Caenorhabditis elegans: one gene and its partner. The protein of the gene in region 1 purifies or fractionates together with the protein of each later gene. This does not show direct contact. Each region holds a gene or a part of one and is shown on either strand. Other genes may lie near its edges. The genes, in order: ehbp-1 and rab-10.

Region 1 (8,160 bases):
GGGAATGCGTGTTGCGCAACATATTTGACGCGCAAAATATCCCGTAGCGAAAACTACAGTAACACTTTAAATGAATACCGTAGCGCTAGTGTCGATTTACGGAAACATTTTATTAATCGATTAAATATTAAAAGAAACACAAAAATGACAAAACAATACGAAAAACTGAATATCACTGTCGCAATTCGAACATAAGTGAAAATCGATCCCGTAAATCGACACCAGCACTACAGTAGTCATTTAAAAAGTTACTGTAGTTTTCGGTCAGATATTTTGCGCGTCAAATATGTTGCGCAATACGCCTTCTCAGGATTTAGTGTTCTCGTAATATGAGAGTACAATATTAAGTTTATTCTTCTCATCTATTTTTCTTCAAATTAATGCATACGAGTATTTTTTCCTGCAAAATGCGATTCATTTTTTAACCATATCACTCAATTTCTCAAATTTATTTGTTTTTTCTTTCAGTACATTCCCTCACAATTCGAGCTTGCTTTTTCCTATCCCACTTGTTTGATCTCTACGCTAAATATTTCCACGTGTAAAGTATTTTTCACCAGTCTTCCACACACTTTCCTCTTTTTTCGAATGAATTTTTGCTGAACATCATTTAAAACTCTGAATTGATTTATTGAAAGCTGAAAGCATTTGGATTTGTGTGCACCGAGAGAAAAGAAAACTGAATACAAAAATATACACATAGAGATGAAAAGATAGAGAAAAATTTGATGTTTTGATTAACTCCTAAAAATTTGCCAAAAAAACGGGAAAGAGTGAATTATGGAAAGGAGAAAAAATGATAGAAGATAACAAAGGGACACTGGGAGAAACTTTGTTTTCAGAAAGAGAAGAAGACCCGTAGTTTTAAATTGAGTAATAAATAACGTTGAAGCGTATTAACGGCGCCACCATTGAATAAGTCGCTTCGATGCTGAAACAGGCTGATCTATTCCACGAACAAAGCGAGTAGCCCTATCCAAAGTAAGGTTCTTCAAACGATCCGAATCTTCTTCGCTGAAAATTTCGAATGTTGTTTCATTAGTTTCACTGAAAGTAGTTTATTACGTGGTGTCAGAATGTCCCATTCGGTTTGATCTACGTAGATCTACAAAAAATTCGGAAGTTGAGACGAAGAGTTCTCAACTGATTTCGCATGGTTAAGAACGTGCTGACGGCACTTTCTTAGGCGAAAAATTCCAGCATTTTTTGTAGATCAAACCGTGATGGGACAGCCTGACACCACGTGGTTCAACAAAGCAATAAACACTTACATTTCGTCCTCAGTTGCAAATAACTTTTGAACCAAGTTACTTTTTGTTTTCATAGCATCACTATATTGTTCAATCAGTTTATCCGTTGCCGTCTTATTCTCATCAGAACGAGGGAAATCATCAGGAACTTCATTGATTTGTTTTCCCAATTGGTCAATTTCCGAAGTAACCTGACGAATTGTCTCAATGATATTATAGTATTCCTGTCGATGTACAAGAGTGTTCCGTTCATTTGTCAACTCAAGATATGATGCAGTCAACATTTCTTCTTCTGAACTTCCAACTTCTGTTTCACGGATCTTGTCTTGAATAACCTGAAAACAAAACAAACTGAATTAATCCTTTAATTCTCAGAATCTTACATCGGCTTGTGCTGTAATATCCGATATACGTTCGTCAATACGAACAAGCTCATTGGCGGTTCCTTCAACGTCATCGACGTCTTTTTCCCATTGGGAAGAGAACTTTTTGGTTGGTGTCGCCAGAGCGTCTTGCGAAGATGATTCGAAATCGTTTCCCTAAAAATAATAACATTTAGACGGTAACTTTCAATTTGCACCCATGATTAAATTTTATGTTGATTAAAATAGAAGCAAAAATCATTACATTACACTTTTTACAACATCACAAACCATGTATCCGTATTGTTTCGCCATCAACTGCAACGATTCTTTCAATTCTGCACTACGCATACTCCCATATCTCTTGACACGATCAAATGTAGAAGCTGATGAAGGAGTTGATGAATCGTTCTGAAATGTGAGCAAAACACTTGTTAGGCATACTGTACAATGCGGTGTATGATAAAAAAGAAAATATAGAACAGAGAAGAACTAAAGATAATATCGACGAAAGAAAAATTATGGTTAGATAGAAATGAGGATTGCTAGTGGTATTGACAGCTAATTGACAACATTCATATTTAAAGCTTAAAATAATACTCAAATGTTTAAAATTGAAAATCAGACAACTTATTACACTGACAAAATAGTTTGCGACAAAATATACGGTAGCTGGTCTTGACGCAAGGTTTCAAGCTCTCGTATTTGTCGATATTTCATCGATTCTTCATAGTTTTTTTTTAAATTTATGTGTGTTTTATTGTTTTATTTTAGTTTTTTATAAAAAAAAAAGTTTTATCGAAAAACTATGAAAAATCTATGAAAATACCTCACCAACGAGGATTTGAAGTAACTGTATCTTTAAAGGTACACATATTTTTCCTGAATCGGTGTTGCCAATAATGCTCTATTCGGGATTAAACTGTTAACTCGGCATTTCGCGTCTTCTTTCTCCCACCTTTTTGCCGGAAGGCGAAAAGGTGGGAGAAAGTAGGCACGAAATGCCGAGAATTTAAATATATTAATGACTGACCCGATTTCCATTTGTTCTGCCACGACCAATTGCTGGCACATGAGGAGTATCATTGGGATCGTCTGTAATTAAAACAAAATTAAGATGAAATTGTTCCTAATAATGCAATTGACATGTTAAAAATCACTGCACTATGAGGAAATAATAAAATGTACATTGTTTGCGGACGAGCGTCGGAGATGGATCACGTTTCTTGAACTTGTGTACATCGAGTTCTGAAAATAAATTCACTACATGCTTTGTCACAACACTAAAACAATTAAATCGGAGCATGATCTGAAAATGTTACAAACCAATACGACGAAGATCGGTATTTGATCCATCGATACGACGGAAAGTGGGATATGGTGATGATGAAGTAGAGGGGATTGCTGAAATGGGAACACACGGTAGAAATAATTAAAACAATCACAACAAAGGAGATTACTATAGAGAATCACGACAACTTTTGTGTTTTTAAAAACTTCTCACCCGTTGGATGCTGCTTTTCGTTCAGCATCCGTCTGACCTCTTCGCGTCTTCTCTCTTCATCACTCGCTTTCCGTGAATTTGGTGTTGCTGCAGGAGTTGTTGATTTTTCAATTAAATCACGTGCTCTTTGGCGTAGTTCATCTCGCTTTGAAGGTGATGCACGATTCTGAAAGTTGTAAAGATTTTCAAAAATAAGAATCTCGTAAAATTGGATATCTATTAGGAAAAAGAATTGATTAGACTATTTCGCTGGGAACAAATGTAATTGAGTTTTATAAGGGCGAGTATTTAATAAGTTTTTTAAGTTGTGTCGCAATTTTTATCAAGCTGTTATATGGTAGTAGGAAATGTTCAGTTATGTATAACCTTATAAATTGCATTAAAAAAATAAAATAAGAAAATATACCAAGAAATCTGACGATTGAAAGAACCTGTTTTTTTCCTATAATTTCAGTTATATTATACACACAAAGTATCTTAAAAATGGTAGAATTGAAGTGAAAAAAGATTTCAATAACTATTTTAAATAATTAGCATTATTCAATTCGAAATTCAACAAAAAAACAAAAACTAAATATTTAAAATTTTAAAATTTTTTTTTTCAATAAAAACTCACCGATGCACGAATTGCTCCAACTCCTGGAGTCACCATGGTTATGCTTACATTACTTCTCTCAAAGCGCATATTTGAAGTTTCAGCATCATCGTCATCAGCGTCAGTTGGTTGATTGAGAGCCGGATTGCGACTAGCCAACTGTGGTGTAACAGGAACTTCATCAGGAATGTGTCTATAATCCACAGCTTCTTCGAGATCTTTTTGATTTCGAATTTCTGTAATCATGGCAACAACTTTTTCTTCGGATTCATTAATTCCAAATGTTCTGGATATTCTGTGATCAGAAGCACTGGCTGGTGTAGATCCCTCGTCAAATCCTTCAAAGATTCGGCGAAGATGTTGAAGAAGAAATTCTATTTGTTTCCGATCAGGAGTCAGAAACATATCAACTGTTGGTACTTCTGTTATTCCTATCAAAGTAAGTGAATCGAGGGCTCTTTGAATATTCGAAATGCGTCCAGACATATTATTAGAGATATCCAGTGTTTCGTAATCTCCAATGAGATCCGGGCGATAAGAATGAAGAACTGCACACAAGGCCAATCCGTTGTTCCAAGATTTCATAAAATCATTAACTTTTACATGCGAATATCCGTTAGTAACTCTCTGACACCATGAAAGTAAAGTCTCTCCATCGATCGGTTGAGGGACAGCATCTCTAGATGGAGCTCTCGGAGAATTTGATCTTCTGAAATTGAAAAAAAATTATGATTGTGAGAAAAGTAACCAAACAATACCCTCTACTCATTGTTCCACTTTGAAGATAATATGGTGTAGCGATTGCTGTAACTGGAACATGCCGAGAATTGGAATCCACACGGAATTCTATTGTTGTAGACGCTTTTTCTTCTGTCGAAGCACGGCTTGACCGACTATGTCTGTTGGTTGCAATTGGCGCTGGAGCTGCTGGTTGTGACGTTTTTTCTTCTTCAGCTGATACTCTCCATTGGGGACGAACTGAAATACATTCTATAAGAGCCACGGGTGTCGGTTTTTCGATTTTTCGTTTTCCGAAAAATTGAAAAAAAAAATTTCGAGTATTTATTTTGGTTTTTTTAATCCTTTTTCTTCATCAACATAAACAAATTTTGATATATCATTTTCTGGATAATTTTCGAATTTTTTTTTCGATTTTCGATGTTCCTTGAAAAAAAAATGAAAAAAATCTACAAATTTTTTGATGACCACACACGAATTTAGGCTATATGACTTTTTTCCATGAAAATATTCTAGCCAAAAATTCTAACGATTAGGTTTAAAAAACGATTTCTAATTACCTTTTGCAGGGTTTTCATTCTCTCCGGAAGGTTTTCGGTGTGCTGGAACAATAGGCGGAGCGATTTCCTTTTCCTCTTTGATCCATTCCATCATTTTTGTAGCTGTCGTGTCGATTTGTTGTCTTGCAGCTTAAAAAAACAAATTATGTGAAATAAACTGTATTTTTTCAATCAAAATACCTGCTGCTCTGGAATCATTTGCACTCGCATCAACTTCATCTGTTACTGGAACTTTTTCAACAAAAGAGGCTGCAGCTGACGAAGTAATACTAACATCATCTGCATTTACTTCCGAAATAAGAGAACTTCCAAGAAGAATAATCAGGGAACACAATTTCAAATGAGGCGTCAATGGACGGAGCTTGAGCTTCAGTTCACTTTTATGATCGGGTAGATCCAGAATAAATAAGCGAACATTGAGTGGCACTGCTGCAATTGCTTTTCTTTTTCCTTTAGCAGTTACTTCTTCAACAACAATCGTCCATTCTTTATCTTCATATTCATCACTTGCAATACGATATAATGTTGTAAGAATATCTATATTCTCTGAAAATTGCTCAGGCCACATAATCAAACATTTGTTAGCGTCCGAACATTCTTCCCATTTTCGTTCCTTTGATGATACTTTTCGTCGTCTGTAAAAATTGTATGATAAAGGTTTCATGAACAATTTTTTATTTATTTTCGATTCGTATTATTTTCTTGTGAATATTTTTCTTTTTTTTTCAAATTTCCATAATGATCATGATGCATTGTGTCTATTTTCTGATTGACATTTATTATTCTTTGATAAGAAAATGTATTCACCTATGAACGAAAGAAACTGCAAGGTTTTCTGGTTTCCATTGTTCGTCGGTGTAGAGATGTAATTCCTAAAATAATAAACAATTGAGATAAAAGTATCAAGAACGAACCTGAAGAGTAACTGTAAATCTAAATTTGGCAGCTTTCTTATTGGATCTCCGAAGTCGACGAAGAATACCCGCCATCTGCAATTTATATGTTAAAACAATGGTAATCAGGTGCGTAATGCGAAGAATTTCTTTTCGATTTGTCGTACGGAAATGGATATTTGAGGAGATGAGAAGAAAGGAAAGGCGGCGGAAACCGAGAGGAATGGGCGCAGCCGTCTTCCTCCTCCTCATTCGACAACGGCGGCGAGAAGATTTGATAAAATGAGCGAGAGGCGATAGACTAGAAGGAAAAGAGAGTGACAGAGGTAAAAAGAAAAGAGCATTTGGAGCTCCAAAGAGAAGGTCTGAAATATGTTATTTTATCCAGTGATTCACAAGAATTTGTATTATTTTAAAGAAAATGAACAATAGAAATTTAGTAAAACTGAAAGGGAGAGGAGAGAATAACAAAAACAATCTGACAGTAGAGCATCGTGTAATGTTACTAGATCGAGTTGGATTGGTCACTTGAGACCGCCGATACAAAGATTTATGGCCACTTCTTGCCATCTCTCACGCTCTCGGTAGGTTTTCGATTTAGCATTTAGTTACAAGTGCTACTTTTCGAGTGTTCGTCGTTATGTATCAGTCAGCTGCCAGCGCCCGTTACACTAACTCTGCTCAGCGCGCCGTCGAAGTTCAAGTGTTCTCCCATAAACAAAAAATGGCAGTCAGAATAAATAAGTTAATTTTTATTCTGAAAACACCATTAAGTAACGTTTTCAGAAAACATGAGGAGCTATCGAAAATGCGATATTTAATAAACGTGAGGAACATAAATGGTTTGATCGAGAACTATATGCATAACCACAGTGATTGTTTGACAAAAATTAATTTAATACGATGAAACTGCATGAAGAAAACAACAAAGTAGATATTTATTGCAACAATATATTGAAAAACCGTTTTCAAAAATTGGTCTAAAAAACACGGCCCGAGAAGTGGTATTTTTTTATGATGCATATAAAAAATTGGAGAGGTCTACACTCCAATTATCAGTAGAGCGCATTTGCATGGATGTACCACTTGCCGGGCCGTGAAAAACGTTTACGTCTTTTTGCGTCTGCATTCACAGTCACGCAAAAACGCAGACACGTTACTGTAAATAGAATATTGTGTAATTCGACGTGGCCGTGTTTGCACATTGTTATTCTGTTTGAAAACATTTTTTTTCCGAAATAATTTTTGCAGAGGGGTTTTTCTTTTATTTCTTTTATTTCCTTGGTAATTCCCTCCATAAATGCGTTTGTATTCTCACAAATTAAAAAATTAAATTATATTTTTAAAAAAGTTAAAAGCCGATTTCGATATTGATTATTTCTTAAGCAGGTAAAGAATTACTCACGATATTGTTAATTTTATTGTGAACAAACTACTTTTTCACCTTTGTTAAACTTTTACAAATGTCTCAATTAATTATAAATAATTTTTATACGAATTCAAACTCTTTAAAACCTTAGAAAGCTGAATAATCGAGCAGAAACTGCGGCAGCAATGCCCGCAATTAACTCGACAACAATGGCCTAGTTGTCGGGTGTTGCCTGTTTCTCGTCCTCTTCCATTTCTACGTTTTCCACGTTCTATGTTTGTCCTGCCTCCCGCCTTAACTACCATTCATAAACGTTTCATTCTAATTTAGGCCCTCTTCGAAGCTATGAGAAATCGTGAGAATCCAACCAAATGGGAGAGTTACAAGCAGGTCATCACAGCTGTTTCAGCATATTGGTACGCTATTCAGGTTTCTTTATTCAACTAAATTTTCCAATTTCAGGGTCTTCTCAATAGGATTAGTGTTTCTCAACAAGTATTTGCTGTCTAGTGTGCAGGTAAATTGTTCAATTCTCGAACATCAATAATTATTCTTTTTTCAGCTTGATGCTCCGCTTTTCATCACTTGGTATCAATGTTTGGTCACCGTATTTCTGTGTTTATTCCTCAGTAAAACATCAAAAGCTTATGGTTTATTCAAATTCCCATCGATGCCAATTGATGCAAAAATCAGCCGAGAAGTATTACCTCTTTCTGTCGTTTTTGTCGCTATGATTTCCTTCAATAATTTGTGTCTCAAATACGTTGGCGTCAGTTTCTACTATGTTGGACGTAGTTTAACGACCGTTTTCAATGTTGTCTGTACTTATCTGATCCTCGGACAAAAGACATCAGGACAGGCGATCGGTTGCTGTGCCCTTATTATTTTT
Region 2 (3,572 bases), on another chromosome or scaffold:
ACATCGGGTGTCTTTGAAATATTTAGTAGTCCAGGATGCTGATGACGTGGAAGAATTGCCAACGAGACAACATTCCACGGAGGTCTGATATCCCATTCACAGGTTCCTTCGTTGAATGTACATAACTCCGTACAGTAAGAAATAGGTAGTACTACTAGGTAGATAATTTTGAAAAGCATTGCGTTGAACGGTGTCATCTGTCATAATCCTGAAGTTGGTTAGAGTGACCTCGTTGGATATTCAACAAGTGACCGGTTTTCGGGGGGAGGGGGAGGACATGTCAATTATACAAGAGTAAGCAATGAAGGTAAAGATGGCTAGTTAGCATGTGGAAGAAGAGCAATTTATTTTATTAAGTCTCTGCGCACGAGAAGATTTGTAAGAAAAGTAAAAGGGGGAGGGAAATTGAAAGAAATGGAGAACATATTTAAACGATCATTAGTTAGAACAGGTAAGTGGAAATGGAGAAAATGTTTCCTAGAAGGGAAGAATGTGAGGCAAAAATTCGAAAAAAAATGAGGGGGAAAGAAGAAGAAGCAAAAAAGATGTATTGACATTCAAATTCATGAATACCCGGATGAAACATTTACAAAACCAAATTGGAGAATAGAGAAGTAAGAGGGAAAAACATGAATCTAGCAGCATCCTCCACTGCTACTCTGCCTCTGTGGTTGCACTGGATTCACCGTATCGCGGGATTGCTCGTCAGTGGAATCAGGCATCTGAAAATAAAAACAAATTATGAAAAAAAAACAATCGTATTAATGAAACTAATTTAGATTATTCTGGTGCAATTTTTGACGAAGCGATTAAAATTTTTTGCATGATTAAAAACGAAGAAGTTTCGCTCTTCATATTTTGTACTAGAAGAGTAATGAGGACAAAAATAAAAAGGCTCTTAGATTTTTCAACTAATTACGAACAATTTCACAAGAAAAAATCAGATTCTAATGCATTTAGCAATCTAATTATCACATTTTCGTCGATTTCAATACTATCAGAACATATATTCGCCCGTGCAAAGAATGTACTAATATATTTCGAATTTTCACATCCTTAATTTTAATTTTTAAAAACATTTTAAAACTTTACCTTAGCCAGAATTGCTTCTGCTAAATCGTAAAACGCTGTATCGACGTGAACATTCAATTTAGCTGAAGTCTCGTGGAAGCTGAAAATAAAAATTGTTTGAGATTATATATATATATTTTTTTATTTTTTAATCCTTTTTAATCTCCCAAAACGTACCTAATACCATGATCTTGTGCGATCTTCTCTCCTCGTTCTCTGCTCACAACTCGTCTATCACTCATATCACATTTATTTCCCAATATCATTTTAACAACATCTTCCGATGCATGTTCGTCAATATTGCGCAACCACTTTGCAATATTGTCAAAACTTTTCGCATTTGTGATATCGTAAACCAGCATAATTCCCATTGCTCCGCGGTAATATGATGTTGTGATTGTGTGGAATCGTTCTTGTCCAGCTGTGTCCCAGATTTGTAATTTAATCTTTTTTCCTTTTAATTCGATAGTTTTAATTTTGAAGTCGATTCCTGAATGAAAAAAGAAAATTATTTTGAAATCACTAGATTCTGAATAAAAACTAACCAATAGTTGAGATGAATGTGGTGTTAAAGGCATCATCCGAAAATCTGTACAGAATGCAAGTTTTTCCAACTCCTGAGTCGCCTATTAGCAGCAATTTGAAGAGCATGTCATACGGTCGGCGAGCCATTTTTCTTCTGAAATGAGAAAAAGTTGAGAACTAAAGTTGCACAAAAGTAAGAGAAAAGCACTTGAGTCATGGCAAATAGAACGAACACTTTGAGATTTCGAAGAAGTTATCAAGAGTTGACAATTGGAAGATATTTGGAAGAACTTTCTAATTTTTTTCTAGTTTTCCAAAATTAGGTTTTTGTCATAAAATGTTGTCAAAGAAAAAACAGGACAAAATAGTTAATTGTTGTTTCCATTATAACAAAAAAAAATTTGAACGGAGCTATTAACGCGTGCATGCGCAAATCACATCGATTAGCTGTTTCTGGGAAATTCTCGGGAAAAGGTGAACAGCAGCTGCTGGCTTCCTCTGCGGGTCACGAAAACACAAAGAGATCATTATAATTGTTATTTGGAAAGGAAGCGAATCTAAAACGGGTACAGGTGGACGTTTATTGATCGAAAGTGCTTTTTATTTGAAATTGAATGGTGAACTTTGCAATTTTGTAATGCAAAGTACGTTATCAGATGGCATGAGATGTGTGAAGTGATAAGGAATAAAATGTGAACGACATGTTCAAGAAACTGTGATTTTTCAATAATTTGTGATGAAATATTTTAGGAACAGAAATGAACATATTAATTGATATAAAAACAATAGGAACACTAACTCATAATTATGATAGGTGAATATCAAAATGTGCTAGATTTTTTGAAGTTAAAAAATACATTTCTAATATTTTTTCAAATAATAAGTTTCAGCTGAAATTTCAGGGTGATTTCAGAAAGCTATGTTTTGATAAATTGTTTTGAAAATTAAAAGAAGCTACAGCAAAAAAAAATTAAAGAGAACATCGCTCCCTCGTAGTGTATAATTTTTGATTATCGAAAAAAATGAGTCAATGATGAAAAGGAAGTCGCAATCTCAAAACTTCAAAAATCAAAAGAAGCCGTTGCCTCTGTCATCAAAAATTCAGAAGACAAGGTTGTTGACAAGGGTCAATTCTCAGTGGTGGAGGGCATTGGGCGTGGTGAAATTTTTGAAGGCTAGTGTGGTTGGACCTCTACTAGATAGACAAAACCCCCGAAATAGACGTTTAATTTGATGAGATGGTGGAGAAAGAAAAGGACTCATTCTCTAGATGATAGAGAGACCAGAGATACAGACAAGAGAGGGCGCCTCGGCCGTATGTTGAATGGGAGATCGATGGAACCGAGACAACGAGAAAAGGAATAGAGACGGAGAAAGAGAGAGAGAGCGCGCGTTGTTGGAAGGATGAAAAAGAAAAAAGACATGAGCTGCTTCACAAGAGCTTGGCGAAAGCAAAGGGCAAAGTGTTGACAGCTTAGTGGTGGTAGTTGGATCATGTGTTTTTATGTTTCCGGTGGGAGAAGGTTCAACAAAAAATGAAAAGAAAAAGTTCAAGCGGCATGAATCATTCTGAGTTTAAAACAAAATTATTGCGAAAATTAATATTAAAACCTTTTCACAAAACTTCAAGCTAATCTGTTCATGAAAATTTGAATAATAGTTTTTTCCCACCTATTTAGAATTAACTTCATATTAACGAAATTAATTAACGAATCGAAAATTATGACTTTTCAGAATCATCTGAAGTTTTTTCACATTCCATGCTGCATGGAATAATTTGATCCTGGAATCGATATGTTTTTATGGTATACTTTTTAACCTTCAATTTAGCTGGAAAAGTATGGAATAAATAATTCCCGAAGCTATGTACATATATGTAGAATTATTGAATGATTGTGAGAACAACTTGACTTTAGCTTGAGTAGGAATCGGAATGGCTATCGACCGATCAACACTTAGGATTGTAAGAATGGCAG

The links.
Region 2: the proteins of ehbp-1 (region 1) and rab-10 purify together in Caenorhabditis elegans (affinity purification with western blotting, with the first as the bait; 2 studies listed by BioGRID). This does not show direct contact.

What each region holds. Positions count from the first base shown.
Region 1 is NC_003283.11:9,548,482-9,556,641, reverse strand, and holds ehbp-1 (EH domain-binding protein 1), read right to left. Parts: upstream 5,999-8,160; coding exon 5,924-5,998; intron 5,882-5,923; coding exon 5,817-5,881; intron 5,645-5,816; coding exon 5,190-5,644; intron 5,139-5,189; coding exon 5,010-5,138; intron 4,690-5,009; coding exon 4,470-4,689; intron 4,421-4,469; coding exon 3,733-4,420; intron 3,283-3,732; coding exon 3,117-3,282; intron 3,017-3,116; coding exon 2,939-3,016; intron 2,861-2,938; coding exon 2,801-2,860; intron 2,708-2,800; coding exon 2,646-2,707; intron 2,024-2,645; coding exon 1,904-2,023; intron 1,790-1,903; coding exon 1,634-1,789; intron 1,586-1,633; coding exon 1,272-1,585; intron 1,015-1,271; coding exon 897-1,014; 3' UTR 610-896; downstream 1-609. Other genes in the region: nstp-10 (GDP-fucose transporter), read left to right, coding at 6,806-6,832, 7,602-7,687, 7,734-7,788, 7,834-8,160.
Region 2 is NC_003279.8:6,456,730-6,460,301, forward strand, and holds rab-10 (Ras-related protein Rab-10), read right to left. Parts: upstream 1,751-3,572; 5' UTR 1,744-1,750; coding exon 1,617-1,743; intron 1,562-1,616; coding exon 1,249-1,561; intron 1,172-1,248; coding exon 1,093-1,171; intron 723-1,092; coding exon 636-722; 3' UTR 553-635; downstream 1-552. Other genes in the region: mam-8 (MAM domain-containing protein), read right to left, coding at 1-197. UniProt on the Caenorhabditis elegans protein: The small GTPases Rab are key regulators of intracellular membrane trafficking, from the formation of transport vesicles to their fusion with membranes.